2 linked regions of the Arabidopsis thaliana genome follow. The protein of the gene in region 1 interacts with the protein of each later gene in a pairwise test. Each region holds a gene or a part of one and is shown on either strand. Other genes may lie near its edges.

Evidence for each region.
Region 2: the proteins of TRM7 (region 1) and MYB113 interact in a two-hybrid assay, tested with the Arabidopsis thaliana proteins (one large-scale study listed by BioGRID).

What each region holds. Positions count from the first base shown.
Region 1 is NC_003074.8:21,695,510-21,701,757, reverse strand, and holds TRM7 (GPI-anchored adhesin-like protein), read left to right. Parts: upstream 1-1,759; 5' UTR 1,760-2,316; intron 2,317-2,528; 5' UTR 2,529-2,538; coding exon 2,539-2,647; intron 2,648-2,726; coding exon 2,727-2,785; intron 2,786-2,901; coding exon 2,902-4,470; intron 4,471-4,565; coding exon 4,566-4,689; intron 4,690-4,807; coding exon 4,808-5,409; 3' UTR 5,410-5,686; downstream 5,687-6,248. Other genes in the region: AT3G58660 (Ribosomal protein L1p/L10e family), read right to left, coding at 1-184.
Region 2 is NC_003070.9:24,751,936-24,755,577, forward strand, and holds MYB113 (myb domain protein 113), read left to right. Parts: upstream 1-1,653; 5' UTR 1,654-1,698; coding exon 1,699-1,819; intron 1,820-1,960; coding exon 1,961-2,090; intron 2,091-2,179; coding exon 2,180-2,669; 3' UTR 2,670-2,826; downstream 2,827-3,642. Other genes in the region: AT1G66360 (Calcium-dependent lipid-binding (CaLB domain) family protein), read left to right, coding at 126-221, 355-672. UniProt on the Arabidopsis thaliana protein: Transcription activator, when associated with BHLH002/EGL3/MYC146, BHLH012/MYC1, or BHLH042/TT8.

The sequences.
Region 1 (6,248 bases):
CGAAAAGGTAGACGAGCTCGTCTTCTTCGAGAAGTTGAGGCTTCTCTGTCTTTGATTTGTCGCTTCTCCAATTGATAAGACCATTGAGGGCGCTCTCCACTGTCTTGGGACTCACTCTTGAAGTCTGCGAAGCGTGAACAAGTTGCTGCTCCTGCGGCGGCGGCGGCGAAACTGCGGTGGTCATGGGAGGGATTGAGGAAGAGAGAGTACAGAGATTAGGGTTTAAGGAGGAAGGGGACAGAAGAAGGATTTATCACTGATATATTATTTCCCTGGGTTAATGGGCCTACCTTTATTTTGGCCCATAATAGTTTTCTTATAAAGATGGGCCGGACTTTCTTCTAGTGTAACTTTTCTAAAGGTTATTTTCTTATAAAGATTGGCCCATATACGAATTTCGACTATCTCTTCCGGAAAACAGTCTATTTCCTCGACACATCATACTAGATAGAATCTGATTTGTGAGCACGATCTATATGTCCTCGAAGAAATAATTTTATATCTATTTCTTTCCGAAACAAAAGTTCAATATCTAAATCTTCTTGAATTAATAGTTATAGATCTAGAAATCCACGAGATTTGGTTTCAACGATTTTTAAAATAGAAACTGTTTGATTAAAACTATTGAATATCAATCTTTTAAAGTCGATTTTGGAGATAAAAAGAATCAACAGAGAAATAAGTATGTTGGAATTAGGGATCTAGGAAAATTTAAAATTCTCTATTATTCAATAGTTTACAAAAAAATCAATAAAAACTATTGATCTAAAATAATGATTTTTGGAATTAAAAATAAGAAATTAAATACTCAATATATATATATATATATATATATATATATATATATATATGAGTCAACCTTTCAACCATGTTGGTTTGTGTTTTGTCATTGTCTCTTTAACTTTCTCTCTCTGTTTATTAAAATATTTCGGTTTGTAACAGCTAGTAAACTACTGATTAAAAGTTTTGAAATGTTATTAATTTGATTTTATTTTCGGAAGTTTAACTTTGAAAAGTATGAATTCACTATCGGCTCTGCATTGTGAGATTCAAGTCTTCATGCGTGTAAAGCTTCCTAGGGATTTTATCGAATTGTTCAGACATCGTTCTCATATACTCTACTCTCTTTGGTTTCGCTACTTCGAAGCAACTCAAACCACAACAACTTCCTCTACTCATTTATTCTGTTTTTAAAAAAAAAAACTGATTGTGAAATATCAAGAGTCCAAAAAAAATTTGAACTTTTAAGTAATTCGAATCATAGAATGCAGCATATTACAAATATTCAAAACTATACGAAAGTGGAGCCCTTGTGAGACGGACACAAATATGAATTGTGGTAATGCCCAACGAAATAATTTTATAATAATCAAAATGGAATATTAATATATACAGTGATTGCACTGTTTACAATAAAGTCTTTGCCTTTATTTTTCTACACCTGAAAATTGAATCGTTATGACCTCTTTTAAATTATGTGTTTTTTTTGTCCCCTAACCAATTCAAATTCTCTTATGTTTGAAACTGCAAACTGAACTGAAACATGTATAAACATCATCAAGCTATATATTTCCATCTGCATTGGATACCAAATATAAACATCATCAAGCTTGTGACAAAAAAAAAAAAAAAACATCATCAAGCTATATATATTTGTAGATGAGATCATGCTATATGTATAAAAGCCAAAATAGTTGTTGAAACAAAAGATTTTCCTTTTATGTATAGAAAAAAGAAACACTTTTAATAGCTCAAAGGAGGGAGCTTTCAGTTTCCTAAATTCAAAACTCTCTTTGTCTCTGTCTGTCTTTCTCTCTCTCTCTCTCTTTGCAACGGCTCTCTCTGTCGTCATTTCAATTCAAACTCAGCTTCTCTCATTTTTTTAAAAACGTCTCTTGCTGCTTCTTCACTTCTCTTAGCTCACTACCCAAATCCCTAATCTCAAATCTGCTTTGAGCCTTCCTGATCTTACGCATTCCTCCAAAACCCCCCAAATATTTTCTTTGTTTTGTTTGTCTGATTTGATAAATCTCATTTTGTGTTTTTATCTTCTTCCATGGTCGTTGTTCTTGTTCTACAGTGCGATTCGTGAGCTGAGAGAGATAAAAGTGGAGAGCTTTGGTCGATCTTTAGGGCTAGATCTCCCAAAGCCACCATTGTTTCGATTTGGGTCAATCCAATTTGCAAAACATCTCTCAGCTGTGTCTGTCTGGGTTCTCATTTTGCTGAATTCGGTATAGGGTTTCTGCAAATTACACTTAATGGATGGATCCATAAGTAAAAAATGAGATCTTTGGCAGCCTGAGAAACTGAGAGGTAATCAAATTTCATTCCTGATCTAATTTCCTTTAATCTTCTGCTATATCAATCACATTCTCTATATCCTTCAGCTGAAATTGGGTGATTCATTATAATAAAATGGAAAAGTTTTGATCTTTTTTATCTGGGGTCTTGTTGTTTGATGGGATCCAGCGTCTTATAAGTGCATTCCATTGAAATTAAACTGATTCAATTGTTTTGATCCATAGGTAAATTAAGATGGACGTCGTTGAGAGAAAAAGACCAAGAGGAGCGTTTCTAAATCTGTTTGATTGGCATGGAAAATCCAGGAAGAAGCTTTTCTCTTCCAATCTCTCCCAACTCTCTGGTATGTCTTCCAGCTTTTGTTGTATATATAAGTTAAGGTAATGAAGTTTAATAATCTAAAGTTTCTTCTTTTAAAACAGAAGAATCTAAGCAAGCAAAAGAGAATGTTCAAAACCCCTCTATTACGCCGCATTCTGTTGTAAGCCTTTTCTTACTCAACACCATTTTCCTTGTTTGATGCAATGTTTTGTTTTGTGTTAGTTTACTGAATGACATGAACTATTTGTGTTCTTTGGTGTGATCTGTTTACAACAGTTTGAAGTTGATCAGAGTGTAAAGAACCCAACTTACAACCCGAGAAGTGACTCTAGCTGTTGTGCTTCATCTGTTACTAGTGATGATGGAAATGTGGTTAGAGCAAGTGTGGTAGCGAGGCTTATGGGTTTAGAGGGTTTACCACTACCAAACGTTTTGGAACCACGGGTTAATCCTGATCTTGATCCATACTTTCTCAGATCCTCGCGCCAAGCAAACACTTGGGATGCTAATGTTGATCGTCAGAGTGACTTCGATGGTGTTTCTTGGGATCATTTGGATTCAAGAACCAGTAAAGGGCCGCGTAAACGGATGATTGAGCGGTTTCAAACCGAAACTTTACCCCCGAGATCAGCTAAACCGATCTCTGTCACTCACAATAAGCTCTTGTCTCCAATAAGGAATCCTGGATTTGTTCCATCTAGGAACCCTGCTTATGTAATGGAAGCTGCTTCAAGAATGATCGAGCAAAGTCCACGGATGATTGCAAGAACACGGATGGTGTCATCGTCTGATTCTTCTTCTCCAGTTCCATTGAGGATTCGAGATTTGAAAGAGAAACTTGAAGCTGCGCAGAAAGCGTCAACTTCAGTTCCTCAAATCTCTAATGATACTCGGAACAGTAGGTACCTAAGAGGAGATCAAAACGAGAAGAAAACTACAGTATTGGGGAAAAACAGTTATGATGCTTTGAAAGGTGGTGAAGTGAAGCCACCTTCTTTCGCTGCGCAAGCAAAAGTCAGCAGTAATCAGAAGCAAGACAGCTTATCAATGTCTTCAAGTGGCAACAAGAGGATGTCTTCGGGACAAAAGGAGAAAGTGGAAGCTAAGAATAGGGCGGTTAAAAGCCAAAACAGTAGCAAAGGATCTTCCTTGAGTACCGGAAAGAATGTGCTTAGGCAAAACAACCAGAAGCAGAACTGCAGAGACAATCAGCAATCCAGGAGAGTAATGAACAAAGTAGTAAATAAGGTTCTTGTGGAAAGTGGATCTATATCGAAGAGCTCAGGATTTACTATGTCATCAGCAGAAAAACCCACTTCTTTACCTTTATCCCGCAAAAAGAGTCTTCCTCGAAGCAAAAAACCGCGGAATGGAGTGCAAGAATCTGGAATTTATGAAGATAAGCGGATCAAAAGGGGTGAAAAGTCGATAAAATGTAACATTTCCATTGATGGCGACTCGAGTACTAGTAAAGATGATCAGAAAAGGGACATGGATGTGATATCTTTCACTTTCTCATCTTCGATCAAAGGTTTATCATCTCCTCATTCACAAGGAACCAAACAAGATGCAGACTCTGCTATAAGGTTCAATGTGATAGGTGGTGATTCTTTAAATGCGCTTTTGGAGCAGAAGCTCAGGGAATTGACAACGAAGATTGAATCATCTAGCTCTAGCTTGATCCAAGAAGAGCCCTTGAGTTCCATTTCAAAAGATAGAGCGAATGCGATGATTTCATCGCCTTCCAAATATAGCGGATTGACTCAAAGCAGTCTTGATAGAGTTTTAACAGAGAGTGAATCTGTTTCTGACTGCACTTCATTCTTTAACAGCCAGAAAGTCCAGGTTAGTTTCCATAAACTATAGCTTCACTATTCTATAATATCGAATGCTTTTCCGGCTTACCAGTCTCTGAGAAAATCTTGTCTTTTTCCTTTTAGAAGCAGAAGGTAATACAGGGAGAAGAACAAGAAGTTAGCAGCATCACCACTCTTACAGAAGCTGATGATTTTGCACTCTCCTGCAGCAAGAGTATCTCAGATTGCAGACATGACAGAGAATATGGTATGTCTTTGTGAATTTATGTCTAGATTTTCTTCACCAGGATTTGAATTCACACCTAATAGTCTTAGTATTGGTTTGATTTGCAGCTAGATAAGCTTAATGTTGTTGGTTTTTTCAGGCATGAAACAGAGTTCATCAGATCAAGAGCTCACTTGGGGTTCATCCAACGAGTCCCAGCACACCTTAGATGAAACAGAATCAGCAACACTCGATTGGGAGCTCGAGTACATAACCGAGATCCTCAACTCTGGGCAGCTCATGTTTCAAGACTTCGCCTCAGGGACAACCACTAATGAATCATTACTACCCTCCAGCCTCTTTGATGAAATGGAACGCTCTCGAGGAGCTGCAACGTCAATGAAGACAGAAAGAAAGGCGCTTTTCGACTGTGTGAATCAGTGCTTAGCGGTGAAATTTGAAAGGATGTTAATTGGAAGCTGCAAAGGGATGATGATGTCAGGTGGGATTTTGTTGGAACATAGAGATTTGTTGGCTGAAGAAGTGAACAGAGAAGTAAAAGGGTTGAAGAAGATGAGAGAGATGATGATCGACGAGCTTGTGGATCATGACATGAGCTGTTTTGAAGGGAGATGGATTGGTTATGAAAGAGAGATGTTTGAGGAAGGAATAGACATGGAAGGAGAGATTGTTTCTGCTTTGGTTGATGATTTAGTTAGTGATATTTTATCTACTAGTGTTCTTAAACGGTCGTTGTTGTAACTTGTATTGTCTTCGTAAGAAGCTTCTTCTGGTTCTGAAATTGTCTGCATGAACTGAAGTAATGCGAGAATATACGGCTACAGAAGAAGTATAATGTTATTTTAAAAATGTTAGGAGTTGAGTGATATTTTATAGAAAGTCAAAGGTGTCGGTGGCAAAATGACGAGGGCACGAGTTCTTCGGTTTCTCATTTTCGGTTTATAAAATTGTTTTGATGCAATAATTTCCTCATTTACTGCTAAAAAGAATCATTACCAGAGATCAAATTATAGATCGTGTTTAGTTTTTCTTGTTAACAAATGTTAATCCTTAATTACTTTTTTTATATAGATTCTAAAAATATTCTAACCTTTGAAAAATATACCCACTTCGTTTCAAATTAATTGTAACTGTAGACGTTCAAGTTTGCTTCAAATTATTTATGGTTTTGTGTTTTCAATACAATTATTGACAAAAATTTCAATTTGCCCCTTCTTCTTTTAGTTTATTAATTGATAATATCAATGCTAAAACAGAAAAGAATAAATTATTTTAGTTTAGTTAATGCTAAAACAGAAAACATAAATGAATATTTAAAAATAAGCCTGAAAAAAATCTCAAACGACAACTAATTTGAAACCAAGAAAGTCTTTTCTTAATAAATAATAATATAGTGTTTGAAAAGAAATTATCCCAATAAATATCATAATCTTTATTTAACTATTTTAATCATCAAAACGGTTATGTCTATAATTAAACTAAAATGTTAGATATCGAGAAATAGCTTTAAAATATGTAAGGTTTGGTAATAGTTGTGTGTTTGGTCTCAAAACAATTAGAAGATGTTAATTCAAGGGTTG
Region 2 (3,642 bases), on another chromosome or scaffold:
ACAAAAAAAAAAGTAGCTAAAAATGAAAAGCATTTTCAACAAGTTTTTGATTTGTTCGTGCATTTCTTATTTGTGTATAATCTATTTATCTTATATGGTTATGTTATGACTCTTTCTGGACGCAGAAGCTACGAACCCGTGTGATGAAAAAGAATTTGAATACAGAATGGAACGAAGACTTGACACTTTCTGTTACTGATCCAACTCTTCCTGTCAAGATCGTAAGTGATTTCGACATTACAACCAAATCAAACACGATACATTAGATTAGACCACAATATGGATTCTTTATATTTGGAAGTTTGAAACAAGACTTAACAAGAAAAATTGGTGTTTTTTTTTTGTTATAAACAGATGGTGTACGATAGGGACAGGTTCTCAAGGGATGATAAGATGGGAGATGCGATTTTTCACATTGATCCGTTCCTTGAAGCCATCAGAATCCAAAACCAACTAGGAGGACTACCTGAGGGGACTGTAATAATGAAGATACAGGCAAGCAGACAAAACTGCTTGTCAGAAGAGAGCAAGATTGTATGGCACAAAGGAAAGATTGTCCAGAACATGTTCCTTAAGCTTCAGAATGTTGAACGAGGGGAGATAGAGCTGCAGCTTGAGTGGATCGATGTCTCCGGCGCCTTGACTGATGATGCGGAGGATGTTGCTTTCTAGATCGACTCTATACTACAAGAAATTCCTGTGATGATACGGCGAAAACAATAACACAAACTGATGTAGTGATTTACTCAATTAATAATCTTAATGCACTAGCGATCTTATCGATGAAGCAATTAAGAGTAGAACCACAAGGACTAATTCACATTAAGAATGCACATAATTACTTAACTTAAGAACTAAATGTTGCATTGATTCAATAAACCGGTTGCAATAATTTATTTAAATATATATTTTAGTTTTAAAAATTAGTTATATAACAATTTATACAGAGTGATGAGGTCGTATATATTAAATATTATAAAAGTTACAATGCTCAGTCAAAATAAACTAAGAATTACATGGGTCTATAAAATAAAATCAAATATTACAATGATTCGTCGAATAACGATTACAACTTTATTTAAATAAATAAATATTTCTAAATTATATAAAAAGTTATACCGAAATACGCAACAGTAGATAATTAAAAGTTTATTAAATAAAAAAAATTACAACGGCTCATAAAACAAAATCAAAAGTTGCAATGATTCGTCCATATAGATCAAATGTTATAACAGTTCAATTAATCTGTTGCAATTTTATTTAAACATATTTTAGTAATCAAAAATAACCAGAAAATGAAAATATATAACTTTAGTTGAACATACATAACTTTTTAACAAAACATTATTATAACTTTTTAACTTTAGTTTCTTTTTTTTGTAATATTTTGAAGAAATGTTGCAATAGAAAGACAACCATGTAGAAGTACAAAACAGATTTATTGACATTGTTATTATTATACGTAATTAAAAAGAACGAAGAGTCTGGCTGCTAAGTGCAGTGAACCATTTCTCTTGTCTAAACAATAGCAAAACAAACTAATTTTTAGCAAATTCAGCATGAATTAAACGTGGATATAAAATATGGCAGTCACTGCACTCTCTATATAAAACCTCCAATAATTTGTGAAGGCTTCACACATGCCATATATATAAATTTTATAAAATTTGTGAGATAATTTTCTATTATCTTTGCTCCATGGGCGAATCACCCAAAGGGTTGAGAAAAGGTACATGGACTACTGAAGAAGATATTCTCTTGAGGCAATGCATTGATAAGTATGGAGAAGGCAAATGGCATCGAGTTCCTTTAAGAACTGGTATTTGTTTCATGCTTTTTAAGGTGGTTCATGAAAATACTATTTATATCGATTGGTGTGCATATATTCTTCATGATAAAGATAAAGGAGGTACAAAAGAAATCTAAGTAGGTATAGTAAATTCGACTTTTGGTTTTATAGGTCTCAATCGGTGCCGAAAGAGTTGTAGACTTAGATGGTTGAATTATTTGAAGCCAAGTATTAAGAGAGGAAAACTCTGCTCCGATGAAGTTGATCTTGTTCTTCGCCTTCATAAACTTCTAGGAAATAGGTATTGTTTTCTCGATAGTCAATACTATTTCTTTAGGGATCGCGGTTCAATACTAGAAACTCTCATGTATATTGTTTCACAATGTTTAGGTGGTCCTTGATCGCTGGTAGATTGCCTGGTCGGACTGCTAATGATGTCAAGAATTACTGGAACACTCATTTGAGTAAGAAGCACGATGAACGATGCTGTAAGACGAAGATGATAAACAAAAACATTACTTCTCATCCTACTTCATCGGCCCAAAAAATCGATGTTTTAAAGCCTCGGCCTCGATCCTTCTCCGATAAAAATAGTTGCAACGATGTCAATATCTTGCCAAAAGTTGACGTTGTTCCTTTACATCTTGGACTCAACAACAATTATGTTTGTGAAAGTAGTATTACATGTAACAAAGATGAGCAAAAAGATAAGCTTATTAATATTAATCTATTGGATGGAGATAATATGTGGTGGGAAAGTTTACTGGAGGCAGATGTGTTGGGTCCAGAAGCTACGGAAACAGCAAAGGGTGTGACCTTACCGCTTGACTTTGAGCAAATTTGGGCTCGGTTTGATGAAGAGACTTTAGAACTGAATTAGTGTTGCTCCCCATTTTTGTTTGCACGTGTGTATTTATGTTTCTGTGGATGTTTTTTATATTGCAATTTTTAAAAATTGTATTATTAAATTCATATCAAAGGTGGCAGCATTTGTTACAATATAACTTAACACGAATTCAAACCCGAGAAGATAACGTCTAATGGTTCATTAGGAGATAATATGAGAGTCGTTTCTACTTATATTGTGTTGTATGAGGTGATGCGATGAGAGTGAAGAAAGGGATGTTTCTACTTATGTTTTTTTTTGCTTTTTATTTACAAATTTATGGTCTTTTCTAAACCAACGTCAGAAAGTTCAATTCTCCAAAAAAACTACATGAATCGTAATTTTTTTTTATCTACAATACTACGTTTTAAATTGACCTAGATAATTAGGATCAGAGTAAGCTGCAATAAACTAAAAGAGAAAAAAGTAAGAAAAAAAAACTAAAAAAAGAAAGAAAGAAAAACAATTCTTCTTCTTCTCCGATGGAGACACACGTTCCTCCAACTCGAACAAATGGATGCATGCCTCAAAGTGGGTCCATTCAATCCGATCTGAAATTAAGCAGACTCAAAATTGGTCCGATTGATCTAAACCGAAATCAATTTTAATTATGATGAGATTTTGTCGAAATTAATAATTAGAAGGGTCATTGATTATTTTAAGGAGACATGTGAGCTATCTCGCACATTAAAATCAAGAAAGAACTTTGAGTGATATCATATGGATCAATATATTTATTATATCAATTGGTTTTGACTTTTCCTCTTAAAAGAAAACAACAACAGTTTTCTAACGCAAATAATGTTGATGTCCTTTGGATCCATGTCGGTTGCATAGTATACACTAAACATGCATTGGAAAAAAACAAAAATTCTTAAAACTTACCATTATCGTTGTTTTTATTAGCTTTGAATGATAAACTACTATCAAAACGATATATTTTTTTTGTATATTTTCGATATTTATC